Linked DNA regions of Schizosaccharomyces pombe. The gene in region 1 interacts genetically with each later gene. Each region holds a gene or a part of one and is shown on either strand. Other genes may lie near its edges.

Evidence for each region. Genes that interact genetically often act in the same process or in processes that back each other up.
Region 2: mutations in pof14 (region 1) and hmt2 together harm fitness more than expected from each alone (negative genetic interaction), as found in Schizosaccharomyces pombe (one large-scale study listed by BioGRID).
Region 3: mutations in pof14 (region 1) and ubc16 together harm fitness more than expected from each alone (negative genetic interaction), as found in Schizosaccharomyces pombe (one large-scale study listed by BioGRID).

The regions. Positions count from the first base shown.
Region 1 is NC_003424.3:2,244,058-2,251,449, forward strand, and holds pof14 (F-box protein Pof14), read left to right. Parts: upstream 1-1,677; 5' UTR 1,678-1,728; coding exon 1,729-3,024; 3' UTR 3,025-3,071; downstream 3,072-7,392. Other genes in the region: microtubule plus-end binding protein, EB1 family Mal3, read left to right, coding at 1-565; byr3 (translational activator, zf-CCHC type zinc finger protein), read right to left, coding at 3,886-4,425; tRNA (uridine) methyltransferase trm9, read right to left, coding at 6,315-6,920, 6,970-7,050. UniProt on the Schizosaccharomyces pombe protein: Expression is induced during oxidative stress. Plays an essential, SCF-independent, role in the stress response to hydrogen peroxide for survival, by negatively regulating ergosterol synthesis via direct binding to the squalene synthase erg9.
Region 2 is NC_003423.3:2,588,142-2,592,918, reverse strand, and holds hmt2 (sulfide-quinone oxidoreductase), read left to right. Parts: upstream 1-1,985; 5' UTR 1,986-2,439; coding exon 2,440-3,819; 3' UTR 3,820-3,915; downstream 3,916-4,777. Other genes in the region: DNA-directed RNA polymerase III complex subunit Rpc25, read left to right, coding at 73-159, 211-479, 614-661; tkt1 (transketolase), read right to left, coding at 4,341-4,777. UniProt on the Schizosaccharomyces pombe protein: Catalyzes the oxidation of hydrogen sulfide, with the help of a quinone.
Region 3 is NC_003423.3:187,444-192,648, reverse strand, and holds ubc16 (ubiquitin conjugating enzyme Ubc16), read right to left. Parts: upstream 3,243-5,205; 5' UTR 2,985-3,242; coding exon 2,730-2,984; exon of another isoform or gene 2,672-2,729; coding exon 2,444-2,671; 3' UTR 2,443-2,443; coding exon of another isoform or gene 1,432-2,442; 3' UTR 1,362-1,431; coding exon of another isoform or gene 1,235-1,361; 3' UTR 1,161-1,234; coding exon of another isoform or gene 973-1,160; 3' UTR 863-972; downstream 1-862. Other genes in the region: RNA polymerase I transcription termination factor/ RNA polymerase II transcription factor Reb1, read left to right, coding at 1-83, 125-451, 503-713; asparagine--tRNA (Asn) ligase Slm5, read left to right, coding at 973-1,160, 1,235-1,361, 1,432-2,442; dipeptidase Dug1, read right to left, coding at 3,670-5,068, 5,194-5,205. UniProt on the Schizosaccharomyces pombe protein: Catalyzes the covalent attachment of ubiquitin to other proteins.

The sequences.
Region 1 (7,392 bases):
ACCTGCTAACACTCGTGTTATGAATTCCTCTGCAGGAGCAACTGGCCCTTCTCGTCGCCGTCAGGTTTCTTCTGGTAGTTCTACACCTTCAATGACTAAGTCATCAGCAAACAACAATAACGTGTCTTCGACTGCAAATACTGCGGCAGTGTTAAGGGCAAAGCAAGCACAACAACAAATCACTAGTCTTGAAACACAGTTGTACGAAGTTAATGAGACGATGTTTGGTTTGGAGAGAGAACGTGATTTCTATTTTAACAAGCTTCGAGAAATTGAAATACTTGTACAAACTCATTTGACCACTTCTCCTATGTCAATGGAAAATATGTTGGAGCGTATTCAAGCAATACTTTATTCTACTGAGGATGGTTTTGAGTTACCACCTGATCAACCCGCAGATTTAACTACCGCCCTTACGGACCATGATACTAACAACGTCGCTGAAGAGGCTCAAATGACTGACCTAAAAGACTCAGAAACTCAACGCGTTCCCTCTGCACCAGATTTCGTACATGCTAGGCTACAAAGTTTAGAGGTTGATGACGATGAGAATATCACGTTTTAAAAAGTACTAAGTTAAAGTTTTTTTTTGTTGCAAATTCTTCATTTTTCACTGTAACAACGTAAATAAAGGAAACCGAAATATTTATTTTTATAGGGAGTTCTTCTTATTCCTTATTGTTTATTTAACCTGATCGAATGTTGCGTGCCTCATGACCTCCAAATTCATTTAATTTCGTTCTTTTTCCTTAACATATAGCATTCTGTATACTACAAATGCTAATTGTAATAAACTTTAATCCTTAGTGTTTGAGCCGTCTAATTATCCCAAATAGGATATTTTTCTTATTTCTTTAAAAAAGCTTCAAGGATAATTTAAATTTATCCTGCTTCTACGTTTCAGTGATTACGAACCAAACTTTTTTATAATTAAATGTTGAAAAGTATGAATGGATGTTTCAGAATTTTATTCAATGATGCTGAAATATCTACTCGATTTAAAAAAAATTTGCATCCGATTTTAAAATCGCCTTTTTCATATATGAGCAAAATAAAGAGTAAAATATTTACTTTCAATGATCTGATTATGTTAAAACGTTTCAACTGCGTACGTCTCAGCGATGTAGAAGTTTAATTACTTATCCTTATCTTATATATATATATTGTTGACTTTATAAACCGTAGGTGTTTATGCTTGTCATTTTTACTAGCAATAGTAAAGTATGTAAAATTTTGAGGTACCTTTGTTAGTTTATTTTTTTTACTCGAACTATATCAACTTTAAATAGCAAATTTTTAAATCAAGCTTAAAGTTATGCAATTCAGCTACACGTCGTTAATAATAAATAAAACTCTTTCATTCACAATTCTTTAAATTTGCAAAGCAAAAATCTCAATAATGAAATTCAAAGCACCAAGTTTCCCCCCCCCCGCCGGGGGGTTTGATCAATTTGTCTTATCTGATCTGATAACACCAATGTTACGTCTTTCACACAAAGAATTAAATTCGATCCACATTAGTATAATATGCGAAGTATACCACTAGTTTTTATTATAAAACTTCTGTTTTCTATATAGGTTTTTATTCACCTAATTCTCAGGCCGGTATGAGTAAGTAACCATGTGATGTATAATTATGCAATGTTGATAACCGGCAAATTGAGCTTGCAGTCAGCCAACATCACCATCAACGAACTGTATATGGGTACTACTACTTAATCAAACTAAATGCTTCAATTTTCATTTCAAAATTGCAAAACGCATACATGCTATATGAATACCAGCGTGAATGAGCACTTGGATCAAGATGAATCGTTTTTAAGAATACTAATCGATACTCGCAAAAAAATAAGAAGCTCATATTTCAAGCCTCAAACATTTGATGAATTTGTGCATTGTTTAGCAAGAGTAAGAGCCATGAAGCGATTGGTTTCGATCTGTTCTAATTTTGATGAAGAAGACAATTGGAATGGTGTCTGGAATACGTTGGTTGTTGATGGAGATTCGCATGCTTCAGCAATGATTGATTATGAAGGTCTACTTGATAAATGCTCACTAAGTAGAAATCTTCTAGAATTGATTAATGATTATGCCGAGTATACTACCCAAGTCCTGCCTTTCAGAAAAATACCAAGTAGCGATAATCTTGACTCTTCATTAAATTTAACTGTTGCTTCACCTAAGTCAAATTTATATTATAGATACTCATCTGAGAGTCCTAAGTATGCAAAAATTTTGGATTGTCCGGATGAAATTTTACAGCTGATTTTTTCATATTGCTATGATGCTTCATACATAGAGAAGTTACCCTTTGCATTTTCATATAGAAAACAACGACATACCCTTATCCATGACCTCCCCAATACATGTTTACGTTTTAAAAAGATTCTCAGCCCTCGAAATGTTTCATTTTGGAAACGATTACTTAAGGTGCATAAAAAAAATCCAAATTCGGCTGTAACTTGCTCTGAGTCTATAAACACAAGTGCTGTGGCCAAATTTACCGATATCCCTACAATCATTCCAATTTTTCTTGATCCAAGTTATCAAAGTTATGCAGCAAAGACAATTCATTCTGATACTTCTTCGTTAGCCTCCTCGATCATCCAAACAGGAGATGGAACACAGTCATGCGATGAGTCTACATATATAGAGCTAGCATGCAATCTTGTAGGCCGTTGTGTGCTTTGCAATAGAATACCGAAGTTAACTAAGTTTAAAGATTGCATTACCTCATTTTACCGGCCTTCTGTTGCTACCAATATATGTGATCAATGCTTAGAAGCAATCATTGACTTTTATGAACCTGTAAGTAGATACAAATTTGATGTTATGAAAGATCGTTTAGGGGTGGGATATATAAGCAGGCCTGGTCAAAAATTCCCCTCTTGGTTATCGGAGCATGTTCAATTGGCTAGGGATGAAGAGAAAGCGTTCAAGAGTATTTACCATTCTCAAGGTGAATTTGCAAGAAGTTTATTTCGTTTGTTTCGAGCGCAGTTGGCTGAGTTATGTGAACAATAAAATTTTGGATTAATATACTACGATTTTATGTAATAGACAAATTCGATGTCAAATTTGTATGAAAGTAAAATTGAAGTTAATAAATTTTTTTTTGTCTATGACAACTGTTACATTTATCGTTCACCCGTTTTCAATTACAGTTCATTTTTGAAAAGCAGAGTAAGCAATGCAAGGAAAAAATAATATTAATTAGGCAAATGACCCAGAACCCTTTTGTAAATATTGTTATACAGATACCATGAGAGATTAAGAAGTAGAGAAGTTGTTAATAAGTCAGAGCATTAACATTTACTGTACAAACACATAAGGTAAATTAAGTTACTCAAAAAATACGAAAACGCCAAAACCCATTTCGTAAATGAAATTGATAGTGAGTTGTCATATAAAACCAAAAGTTCCATTAAATAATGGCACTAAAAAAAACAAATCATCCAAATGGACCAAGGAATTTCTATCATTTATAGAATTCCCATATTCCAAATTTTTTTATTTCAAGCTCGTGAATTGAAAATAATAGGAAAAAAATGCCACTACAACAGTAAAAATAAACTGAAACAAAAAGGATTTAATCTATCAACATCCATCTTTTAGCGGTGACGAGAAAACAGGAGAGAAATGAGGTGGTGCATCTCAGGCTTCAGTACAAATATCCTTAAGGATCCGAAGCAAAAATGAATTCAGAAGTGTGCGAAAAAATAAGGACGAAGAGAAGGATGTAAAATTATGCTTTCTATATAACTAAATGCGCAGATCGCTCAAGGGATTTGTAAGAATATGACCACTTGCCAAATTTGAATAAATCGGACAAGAAAAAGAAAAAATATCTTCATACCACGACAAAGGGTTATAAATAGCAAGCACTTATGCCTCAATTACAGGAGAGGTGCAATTGACGGCGATGTGGCCTGGTTGATTACACTTGTAACAAAGTTGACCATCTGAAGCTTGTTGACATTCAAAGCTGCGGTGTCCAATCTTACCACAAGAGTAGCATTTCACGCCCATAGTGCAATCACGGGCTTGATGGCCATAAGAGCCACAAGCATAGCAATTCATGTTGGAGCGATGACCACCAAATCGTCCGCCACTTTGTTGACCATTTGTACGACAGTCTCTAGCAATGTGACCAACACGACCACACTTGTAACATTCCGCACCTTGACGGGGGTTAGGGCTGCTGGGGCAATCACGAACGAGATGTCCGGCGGTACCACAAGCATAGCAAGTTTTTTCCTGTTGAGGCTCAGTGCATTCGCTAGCCTTGTGACCGGTCTGATTGCAATTGTAGCAGATTGAACCCTTGGTGCACTCACGAGCTTGATGACCGTTTTCACCACAGTTATAGCATCGAGGACCGGGACGAGTGGTTTGAGGAACGGTGGGAACAGATTCAGACTCCATCTTAACAACTCCTTTACAATTAAAAAAAATTATTAAAGAAAATTAAGAAAAATAAAAAAAAACAGAAAAAATGTACTTTTTCTCGCTAACCTGACTACACTTCCTTAATAAATAGGAGCGTGTGACTGTCTAAATTTTTCTTAAGTAACAAGCACATGGTGGCACTTGGAAGTAACGAATTTGACAAGCGACTATTTTGGTCTTAAAGATGTCAATAAATAAGAATTTAGTTGTTTTAGACCGACGGAAGAAGCACAACAACTTGCCAATTAAAAAGAGTCATGGAATCGAAGAATTGTTACCGCATACTTGCTTTTTTTTGTGATAGAGAGTGTAATATCTTACATAACTAGTAAGCTCACTCTTTCCCATAAACTCAGGACTTTTTGGTTCTGACAATAGCTTTATATCATAGCAATTATTGCCTCCTCATTGTAATGTAGATTGGTATTCCAAGCGAATATAACCAAACGCTTAGTTACTTTGAATCGTGGTAAATAAGCATCGTTATTTTTCATGGCAAAAAATCGTAGAAACATTGCATTCACAGTATAGCGCCTGAAGAATTGAGTTCAGTCATTTGCAATATATATATTACTGGAATCTATAGTTGTACATATTTTAGGTATCCAGAGTACCACGTGCTTGAATTCAAACAAATCAAAATAAATCCAAAAATTGTTTTGGTAAAAAATAATGCTTTGGCCGGGAATCGAACCCGGGTCGAATCGATGGCAACGATTCATTATACCACTAAACCACCAAAGCTTGTTGAGGTTTCGATAAAAAAAGATTTAATTATATTACGCGACGATATATCAACATAATAATTTTAAATAGATAATTAGGATCTTGGAAATCTTTTTATATTTTTCCTAGACTTTATGAATATAACAAATACGAAATAGAAGGTGAATGGAATAGAAAAAAAGTAATCATTCGACTAAGGAGCAAAGAACTGCTGATTACTTCTTTATTTGAATTTAGCAACCAAGAATTTATTAATGCATGTCGGATTATTAATTTAATTCATGCAGTAAGTGTTTTGCCAAACTATTAATTGCTTATTTTTTTCTCTTTGGAATTCGTTTTGGTAAATAGAAAAGCAAGTAACTTAGTCGCATTTAAATTATTAAATTCAAATCAAATTTTGTACGTTAATTACTATTCCTATTTGTGGCTTAATAAATTTTGTATAATTCCTACATATTTTTTACAATTTATCATTATTATTGGGACACGTTTATTCAAACACTGTTTTTTAGATAATTCATTTCATACTCAAGCACAGATTTATATTAAAAGTTTAACATATACAGAAATGCATGATTATTCCAAATTATTCTAAAAAAAAATATTTTTTTTTTGAAATTTATTCATTTTACAAAATGTTTTTGCTTGACATACTTCATCGATTTCCAATACTTATGCAACCTTTGAACCGTCATTTCACTAACCTACGTGAATAAACTATTAACAAAAATTAGATTAACATTTTAATTTCCAACCCATTCACAGATGTATAGTATCATTTAACAGAAAACCACTTCAATCGATATCAAATTATCACTATTGTCATACTAAGAAACCGTCAATTTTTTTTTTGAAAACAAGTACATTTGACCGCTTTTCGCCCTTGGGAATGACTAGTTCATCGCTTCATTTTATAATTAAACGCAGTAAATTAATAATCGAGACATAAAACACAGAAATTCTTCTACCAGTTAGATTAAAAAAAAAAATCTGTAAAATCATTTTCCGAACGAAAATAGTTTAAACTATGTAATTAAGGTAAAATAGAAATATTCCAACTTTTTGAGAACAAGTTCAAGAAAGATGAAAAATCTGTTCTATCAAGGTGATATGACGATCAATTTTCATTCCAAAACTTAGTTTTTTTCAGCAATTACCCACCAGTTATCACGGTCGTAGCCATGTTCCAATATTGAGCCGCCTGCGGTCTCTACTAACTCATTTAATTCACCCTTGCGAAATAAATGGTAGTAACGTTGATACGCAATATTTTCAGCAGGATCGTGCCCCTTTAATTCCTCCGGCTTTGCATTTGGATACTCATATTGCCTTTTTAATATCCAAGGAACATAAACGTCCTGCGGTCCGTCTTCTGAAAAACCACGCCTTGAATTCTTTTGTTCTAAAGCCCAAACAAAAAATAGTGCTTTCCCTCCTTTTACTAATGGTCTTAAAACTTCCTGAACAGCTTGCAACCTTCGGTTTTCATTGCTGAAATGATGGATTACAGCTATGCTTAAGGCAAAATCAAACCGATTGCTTGGATGAGGTACGTGCAGGCCATCAGAAATAACCATAGGACCTAGATTGCTTGCTATTTTAACAAGTTTTACGCAACGATCGCTTCCTATCATGTAAACATTTGGGTTAACCTTTTGGTATTTGCCATTTCCGCACCCAATGTCTACTCCTACAGAGCCCAAAGGCAAAGATTTTAAAAATTTTTCAACCACTGGCCATGGCTACAAAATGACTGATTAGCTTTAATTAAATATCGTTGTATTAACTTACCTTGTATCGAGTATCTGAGAAATGTGTTGCAATCTTATCATATACTTGATGAACATATTCATTTTCGTACTCTATTTCCATTTTAATATAAATAAGTAAAAATTTGTAGCCTTTGAAGCCGATTAAAATACGTCTCGAAGGTTGGGTAAGGTTAGCAAATGGTAAAACTAAAACGATGGGTTATAGGGATGTTAATTTCGAAATTAGAGATTGAAAATAATTTCCATTCCTTTGTTTATTGCCATGGTTCAAAATTAAGGATTTCATTATTCTTTATCATTTAAAGCAACAACTAAAACAAATTACAGCTACCAGTAACACAAAAAAAACGGTGATGGTACTAAAAGTATCCCGTTACTTTATTTTGCAATGCGCAAACTGAGATAAAGCCTTTTCTATGAATTTGAATTTTAATAATGATTA
Region 2 (4,777 bases), on another chromosome or scaffold:
TATCAATACGAAAGGCTGTCAGGATAGTGATTCAGTGGAAAAGAAAAACTTAAATGGTTCTAATTAGATTAGTGGTTTTCCGCCTTATAATCTTTCGTCCTTTTCGAGGTGAAGTAATGCTGGGAAAAATAAAATCGTGCAGTGAAGAAGGTATTCGGGGTATGTTAAATGTGTTTGTTTAAATGCTTGTTGTTAATGTTTTTCTCCCAGTAACTATTAGCTTTTTTGACGATATTTTCATTCCGAAAGATATGCTTTTCGATCCATGTGTCTTTCGTCCGGATGAGCGTGCCTGGGTATGGAAAATTGAAGGGGAGGACGGCTCAGAGGGAACCGAATTGTATTTTGACATTGATGAAGAAATACGCTTTCAAATAGAATCTGAGGACTTTGTTGATATTTCACCTAAGAGGAATAAAAATGCAACCGCGATTACAGGCACAGAAGCATTGGAATCGGTATCCCCATATACATTGATTGTAAGTTTTTTTTTTTATGTTTAGGGCGAAACTTGTGTCATTATTTATGAAGGGTGCACCATCTATTTGCTAGTATACAAGAAAATATTTTCTGCTTCTCTCAAATCGATAGAATTTACTAACTATATATTTAGGCTTCCTGTTCTCGTGATGGACTGGGCATTCCTGCTTGGTGGAAATGAGCTATTGGATTCGAATCAAAGTCAAACAAAATTTAAAAGCATCAATTAATCATTTACTCCAAATTGTATAAGTAGACTTTCATTCATGTTCTATTTTTCTTCATCTAATGCATCACCAAAATTTCCCAAAAATCACGTGGTCTAGAAAATGGTTGCAATTCTATTCTGTACATTCATCCCGTCTTATAAATTTCATTGCCGAAGGTTTTTGCACAAACCTTTTGGGGTTTTATTATTTCGTTGGAGATACCTGTGTTGTTTTTAGACATGTCCTACTTAAAGGTTGCTTTTAGTGAAAAAGGGTTATTTATAAATCAACTACTTCTTTTTTTTTTTTTTTTTTTAGCTTTTCTCTATTTAAAGGTATATTATTGTATCGAAAAATCAGTTTGTTTACATCTTTGCACAGCAACACATAATGGTTATGAAAACGGCGTTCTTCAAAATTTACCTTCTTGGATGATCATGGTATTTGCTAACAGGGGGCTACTTTAATAAAGGTACTTTCATGTCAAGCTTAAATTTAATCTGGTTAAAAGAGTCATATGTTCTAAAACTTTATATTCAATCTAACAACTGAAGATTCCGCACTGCGTAAAGGAATTTTTCAATGTTAAACAAACGATCCATGCTATGTATGATTTGATTGATTTTGGTATTGTGTATACTAATGTTTAGTAGTATTACCGAATATGGAAAATTTAATTAATTACACAAAAGAGCCGATTCATTTTATAGCATAATAGAATATCAGTCTACTTTTTATGAACAATGTTTGCTTCTTCAGCAAAGAATGTCCATCGCCAACCCACGTTACTCTTTAGTACAGCCGATTTTCGTTATATGTCAGAAAATAGCAACCTTAACATTTCAGCGCCTTGCTATTTGCTATTTGAAAATGACCAACAGCAATTTGACAAACTTCTAATTTTGTTGTATTTGTGCACAAATGCATGGACGTTATAAAGGATTCTTTCGGCTACTGTACTACTTTAGGGATAAACGAATATTTTTGCAAAATTAAAAATACACATACCCACAAAATCATTCACTTTCTTACTTCTAGTACTATTATTAATTTACGGAAACATGCATTAAGCAGCTTTTATGAGTTCCTTAAGCCTCGATAGCTTTTGCTTTACAAACTTTAATGAAACTTAGCAAATCCACGTGATTTGCCCCTAAAATGAATAAAGTTATGCCACATATTTCGGAATCACAAGCAAAGCGCAAGCACTTGACAAAATTGCGTAACCGATTACGCCTTCGGAGCTGACGTGAGTTATCGACTGAATATAAACACCTTATGCTGCTAATTCTGATTAGTCGACTGTATTTGCAAATATTTTCTACATAGGCTTGTCTTCCGTTAATTCTATTTTGTACACTACACCATTCTTTTTAGACGACAGCCGGTAGACTAAATTGTGCTTGTTTCTTGAACAATTAAAGTACATTGAAGAGTGCATATAAAAGAAATAAAAAATTTTTTTTTTTCTTTTACTTCGCTTGAGTCAAAACAGACTAGCACTTATTCTAGTACACTTGAAAGGTGGTGCTTGTTTGACTACATTCTTTGATATTGTAATCAAAAATTTTTTTTTTAAAAATTCCTTTTCTCCTGATTTACTTATTGAGGTGTTAAATTCTTGAAATTTTAAACGCGTTTTTTCCGCTCAACCTCTGTTTTCTTGTGTTTTATTAGGCTACTTTTTGCCTCCTTTTTTTTTCCTTTACCTTTAAAAAAACACTTCTCTTTTGCATTTTTGCAACTAAAAATGTTGACCTTAAACTCAACAATCAAGTCGGTCACCGGCTCATTTCAGTCCGCTTCCATGTTGGCTCGATTCGCCTCTACCCATCACAAGGTTTTAGTAGTTGGTGGTGGATCCGCTGGTATATCCGTCGCCCATCAAATTTACAACAAGTTTTCTAAATACCGCTTTGCCAATGACCAAGGCAAAGATACATCCCTCAAACCCGGTGAAATTGGTATTGTGGATGGTGCCAAGTATCATTATTACCAACCTGGTTGGACTTTGACTGGTGCTGGATTGAGTTCTGTTGCTAAGACCAGACGAGAATTGGCTAGCCTGGTTCCTGCTGACAAATTTAAACTCCATCCTGAATTTGTTAAATCCTTACATCCTCGTGAAAACAAAATAGTTACTCAAAGTGGTCAAGAAATTAGCTATGATTATTTGGTTATGGCAGCTGGTATTTATACTGACTTTGGCAGAATCAAGGGTTTAACTGAGGCTTTGGATGACCCCAACACCCCTGTAGTTACTATCTATTCAGAAAAATATGCTGACGCTGTTTATCCTTGGATTGAAAAAACCAAGTCTGGAAATGCCATTTTTACTCAACCCAGCGGTGTCTTGAAGTGTGCCGGCGCTCCACAAAAGATTATGTGGATGGCTGAAGATTATTGGCGTCGTCATAAAGTTCGTTCCAATATTGATGTATCCTTCTACACTGGTATGCCTACTCTTTTCTCGGTTAAGCGCTATTCTGATGCCCTTCTTCGCCAAAATGAGCAATTACATCGCAATGTCAAGATTAATTATAAAGATGAGCTTGTTGAAGTTAAGGGATCTGAACGTAAAGCCGTATTTAAGAATTTAAACGATGGCTCTCTCTTCGAGCGTCCTTTTGATCTTTTGCATGCCGTCCCCTCTATGCGTTCTCATGAGTTTATCGCAAAGAGTGATTTGGCTGATAAATCTGGTTTTGTTGCTGTTGATCAATCTACTACACAATCGACCAAGTTCCCCAATGTTTTCGCTATCGGTGATTGCAGTGGTTTGCCAACTAGTAAGACTTACGCTGCCATTACTGCACAAGCTCCTGTTATGGTCCACAATCTTTGGAGTTTCGTTAATGGAAAGAATTTAACTGCATCATACAATGGTTACACTTCATGCCCGCTACTCACTGGCTATGGTAAGCTTATCTTGGCCGAATTCTTGTACAAACAAGAACCTAAAGAATCTTTCGGTCGCTTTTCTCGTTTCCTTGACCAAACTGTACCTCGTCGCATGTTTTATCACCTTAAGAAGGACTTCTTTCCTTTTGTTTACTGGAATTTCGCCGTCCGCAATGGTAAGTGGTATGGCAGCAGAGGTTTGATTCCTCCTCACTTTCCTGTTAATTAAAGATTCAATCATCTTTCTTGCGTAAAATAATGCAATCTGCTAGGCATGATTTAGTAGCAACCCTTATATAATTGAATGTTACCCCCTTTCCTTACCATACCTTTACTAGGTTTATCTTTGATTAGAAAAACAGTGTTGATTATTAAGTACTCTAAAGTTATGTACGTCTGTGAATGTTTGAATAAAGTTATTAAATAAATATCAACTTTTTACTTCTAATTTTAAATATGAATAAAAATAGTTTGTAATACATCAACTATAAACGCCAGTAAACTGCACTTACATTGACTAAAGTAGATGCAAAATTATTGTAATACTCTACTCACAATTCCAACTATATCGTCGAATATCATATATACAAAAATATATATATTTATGCATTCATATTTTGCTCACATTTATAGACTTACATTCAAATAAAGACAAAACACAATTCACTCATAACTACTTCCTTCCGCACGAATTGAATTCTAAGCCAGCAAATCAATCCTAAAAGAATCTAGAGAAAAAATGCTACTAAATTAGAAAGCACGGCGGACAGGGGAACGAATATAAGGGATATCCTTGTAAGCATCAACAGTCTTTTTGGCACGTTGAGCAACACCAGAGGTGGTGAAATGGAATTTCTCGTATAATTTGGGAGCAGGGCCAGAGTCACCAAAAGTGTGCATACCAAAGGCCTCGTGAACGTAACGTCTCCAACCATTGGTAGCCCAAACCTCGACGGACATAGCAGGAATACCGTCAGGAATGACAGAAAGACGGTAGCTTTCTGGTTGTTGTTCGAAAACTTCCCAGCAAGGCAATGAAACGACACGAGCCTTCAAGTTGTACTCGGTCTCAAGGGTCTTGACAGTGTCAATGCAAAGAGAGACTTCAGAACCAGTACCGACAAGAGTAATATCGGCCTCCTTGTTCTCCAACATGACATAACCACCCTTAAGAGCATTTTCAATAG
Region 3 (5,205 bases), on another chromosome or scaffold:
ATTTATCACCATGTACGACGTGCATATAACCCGTTTGAAGATCGCTGTGTGTGGAGCAAAGAAGAAGATGAAGAATTAAGAAAGTATGTGTTTATATTTTTATTCAAAAATCATTAACGTTTAGAAATGTTGTTGAACATGGTAAATGCTGGACGAAAATTGGTCGTAAAATGGCTCGAATGCCTAATGATTGTCGTGATCGTTGGCGCGACGTAGTACGTTTTGGCGATAAATTGAAACGAAATGCTTGGTCGTTGGAAGAGGAAACTCAGTTATTGCAAATAGTTGCTGAACTCCGTAACCGTGAAGACTTAAGTTCTGACATTAATTGGACGCTTGTTGCCCAAATGTTAGGTACTAGGACTCGTTTACAGTGTCGTTATAAATTTCAGCAATTGACGAAGGCTGCTTCAAAATTTGAACTTCAAGAAAACGTTTGGCTCTTAGAAAGGTAAGTATTGACCTACATAATTTCTCTTGCTTGCTAATATTTTAATTTAAGGATTTACGACTCGTTATTGAACAATGGTGGTAAAATTCATTGGGAAAATATCGTAAAAGAAGCTAATGGACGATGGACACGCGATCAGATGTTGTTTCAATTTATAAATTTGAAAAAAATGATACCAAGTTACGACAATCTTCCTCTTCTAGAAGCCACGAAGTCAGCCATTGATGACTTTAAAGTGGTACTTTCTGGATTCTCCAATTGACGTCCTTACAATTTTTTGAACGAAAAAATTTGTTTTAACTTACTTAAGTAACTTTGTATCTTTTTACAAGTCCTTATTAAAATGACTTAATTCTTAACGCAACACCTTCATACTGAGGATATGTAAAGTCGCCTTACTACTACCGCTCTTTGCATTTCTAGTTATTGGCGAATAGTTTTTGGAAGAATTCATAATTTCCTTAGCAATAGAGGATTTTTTGTAAATTAATAATTAAAATTGAATTGTTTGCTAATTCCGTATGAATAAATTCCAACTACCAAAAACTTTAAAGTCTTTATGGCATCACCCACATAATGGAGAGTTAATAAGCATAAACGGCTGGGTACGATCTATCCGAAAACTAAAAAATGTTTGTTTTGCCATGGTTTCTGATGGTACATGTCAACAAGCCCTTCAAGTGGTGACTTCGCCTGAACAGAGTAAGAAGTATGGTTGAGGAGGAGACATAAAATCTAAATTATATGATATCTTTTTCCTACTAACATTAATTTATTATCAAGGCTATCATATGGTGCTAGTGTGAATATTGAAGGCCAGTTGGCAGTTTCTAAAAACGCAAAACTTGGATTGCAGCAGTATGAACTGTTGGCTGAGAAAATAAAAATTTACGGCCAGATAAATGATGATGTATGTGCTTTCAAAATTGAATATACTGCAAGTCTATCGCCATAGAATTAAATTCTAATCCGGAATATAGAACTACCCTATTCAGAAAAAACATTTGACTACTGAAATGTTACGACAAATACCCCATCTTCGATTACGAACAGCAAAACAAGGGGAGATTTTTCGTCTCCGTTCAGATTCATTAAAAGCATTGCGACAATTTTTTTCAAGCAAAGATTTTACAGAGACCAACCCCCCGATAATAACTTCTTCTGATTGTGAAGGAGCTGGTGAAGTATTTACCTTGACCCCCCAGGAGACGCATAAAAATAAAAGTTTTGAAAGAGATGATCAAAAGCATTTTTTTGACCGACCTGCATTTTTAACTGTATCCACTCAATTGCATCTAGAGGCTCTAGCATTAGGACTGTCCAGAGTGTATACTATATCGCCAGCATTTAGAGCAGAACAAAGTCATACTAGTCGACATTTGGCAGAATTTTGGATGCTGGAAGCAGAAGTTGCGTTCATGACTTCGCTTTCACAACTAACATCACTTATGGAGGATATGATTAAATATACTCTTAATTCATTGATGGAGCAGAACTATCACAGAGATCATTGGGACCAACTGCTTAAACCGTGGAAATGCATGACATATTCTGAAGCAATAGAAGAATTAAGCGCTGTGAAAAAAACATGGAAATACCCTCCTAAATGGGGAAACGATTTAAGTAGTGAACATGAAAAATATCTTTGTGAAATCTTACATAAAACTCCGGTATTCGTGACGGACTATCCACAAAAAATTAAACCGTTTTATATGAAATCCTCTGGGCCCGATACAGTTGCTGCTGTTGATTTACTCGTTCCACAGGTGGGTGAACTTGCTGGAGGTTCTTTACGTAAAGACCATTTAGATGAGTATAAAACTTACCCACCAGAACTTCAATGGTATTTAGACCTAATGAAGTACAGCAATGCGCCACACGGAGGGTTTGGCTTAGGGATAGAACGACTGATTGCTTTTCTAGAAGGAGAAAACACGAACGTAAAAGAAACTATACCCTTCCCCCGTTCAGTAGGATCCATTTTTGCATGATTTATGAAAGATCTTCTATCTTACCTTTGGCGTAAAGATAGGTTGTACATCGAACTAATGAATTATAAGCCGTTTTGTCCCCGGTTCTCAACAGCTTGGCGGCATCTACATTTAATGGAGAACTAGCATCGTAATTACTTAAAAGAGAGATAATTGCTAAACAAGCAGATTGTAGACTCCAGGCCGGCGACCAATGTGTCTTTAATATGTCCATACATACTTCGCCGTTCTACCATTGACGTTAGCTAATGAATGTAATCTAAAAAACTCTATTTAAATTGGCTTACCGTCCATGAAATATTCGGATGTACAATTTTTGTTTGAAAATACACAGACGGGGGACTAATAGGATACCCTTCGTGAACATGAATATCGAGAACCCATTGCCCCCCTTCATACGGTGTTTCAGTAGGTCCTTCAATGACTGCCTTCCAATGGAACATATCAACATCAGTGACCGGTTTTAAAAGTAAGAGACCAGATATATCTCCAGCCTGGAAACTGGCATATTCTTTGTGAAGTCGTTTAATTGAACTATTCATTTGTCAAGATTCATAACACTCGTTTCTATTTTAGGTTCTAGCATGCATCAACTCTAGATAGCAAAGCTTGTCAATCTAAGAAGATTTAAATTTTCAAGGATTACCGGTTTCGCAGGTGTTGCTGGAAGCAAACAAAACCAGGTGTACTCACTAAGTTGTGTAAAAAGAAGTTAATACATAAATGCACTCAAAGCGATCCTTAATTAGCCTTATTCAACGGAAGGTAACCGAAATTTGATTAAGGCTCAGTGGCATAGTAAAGAAATGTTAGTGTTTTATTTGAAATTCGTCTTTAGTTCGTTACAACACGGTAAGCATCAATATTTGATTTAAAGAAATAAAAGTCAGATTGCATTACAGGTAATACAAGTTTTGGAGCTGATTATTAAAAATAAACGATGAAGTAAACAACATCTTATTCCTAACTTTCGTATTTTATTTGACTTTGCAGAATTTTCATTTCTAGATAATCATATAGAATTGCAGACATGAAATCACTCAGTTACATACCAAGGCTCGCAAGCGCATATTACTCGGATTCAATGACAAAGTTTATTCATTAAAAGAATGCGTAAATAATTTCGAATAACAAGATTTATAATATTTAACGTACAGAATCTACCAATACAAAGTAAACACACCAATATCATGATAGTATTAACTTAACGCTAAATCGAAAGGGATTTTAAGGAGAAACAGAAGCCAACTCATGAACATAAGTACAGAAAAGTTTTATGCCCTTAAGGAAGTTATCAAGGTCTAATTTCTCATTGATACTGTGGGCACCGTCATCACCACGGCCCATAGGCAACAACAAAACATTTTTCTTCAAAGATTGCTCAAAAGTAACAGTTACTGGAATAGAACCGCCTTCACGAACGAAATCTGGGGTTATACCGTAAACACGCTCAGTGGCTTTTTTACCGACATCATAATGCCAGTGGTCAGGAGAAGAAATCCACCAACTTCCAGAGTGCATGTTGTTAAAAGCGAGCTTGTTTTTCGAGTTCAAAGAGTTGAAAACCTTTGTTACATGTTCTTTAACAAGTCGTTCAACAGTTTCTGACTCCATATTGGGGACGGTGCGAATGGAAAATTTACCAATAACTTTCGCGGGAATAACCGTTTTAGCACCACTGCCACTAAAGGCACCTTCAATACCATGAAGTGAAAGTGTAGGATATCTCCAGCGATGTTGAAGTGTTCTCTTGGGATCGGGATAAATAGAAATATCAGCACCGACCGCCTCTTTCAAATCTTCCATTGTATAATCAATTCCATCATAAATACTATCCTCGGTAGGTGTGAGTTCTGCTACTTGGTCCATGATACCAGGAATCAAAATTTCACCATTGGGTTTAACTAAAGTACTCATGATAGCAACTAAGTCCGTCATAGGCTCATGCACAGTACCGCCAAAAACGCCAGAGTGCAGATCAGCAGATGGTCCTTCGACAGTAATATTAAAGTAACAAACACCACGGAGGCCGTAAGTTAAAACTGGCTTTTTGGTACCCAACCAATAAGTATCGCTGATGCAAACACAATCTGCTTTAGCAAAGTACTTTTCAGCTTCTGCACGAATTAAATCTTCTAAACCTTCACTGCCGTATTCCTCCATTCCTTCAAAACACATGAGTAAGTTTACTGGAAAATCAATACCAAGTTCTTTGTGAGCTTCAATGGCCGAAATCCATCCAATGAGCGGTCCTTTATCATCAGTAGCACCGCGACCAAACATGCGTCCTTTATTGTCAACTGTCAACGTGAAAGGGTCAGTACTCCATCCATCTTCTAATGAAGCCGGCTGAACATCAAAGTGATTATAAATTAAAACAGTCTTTTTAGAAGGGTCATTTCCGTATTGACCGAGAACAATAGGTGGCAGAGGAACGTCTTGTCCATCCATTTGATGATAACCAATATCACGCTTCTCCATCTTGGCTCCCAACTTTGTGAACTCACTAACCACAAAGTCAGCCATCTCTACAACTTTGGGACGAAGCGTTACATCGGCAGAGACAGAAGGTATAGAAACTGCCCGTGAAAGCCTAGTAACAAACTCATCCTTCTTCTTATCTATACTATAAAGTGTTAGGCATGTCGCTTTCTGAAATCTGCAATAAAATAAAGAAATAAGACTTGCCTCTGGCAATTCTGAACAACTGTCTACTTTTCTTTAATTTCTTCAAGAAAGATCCTTACTTACACTTCGTATAAC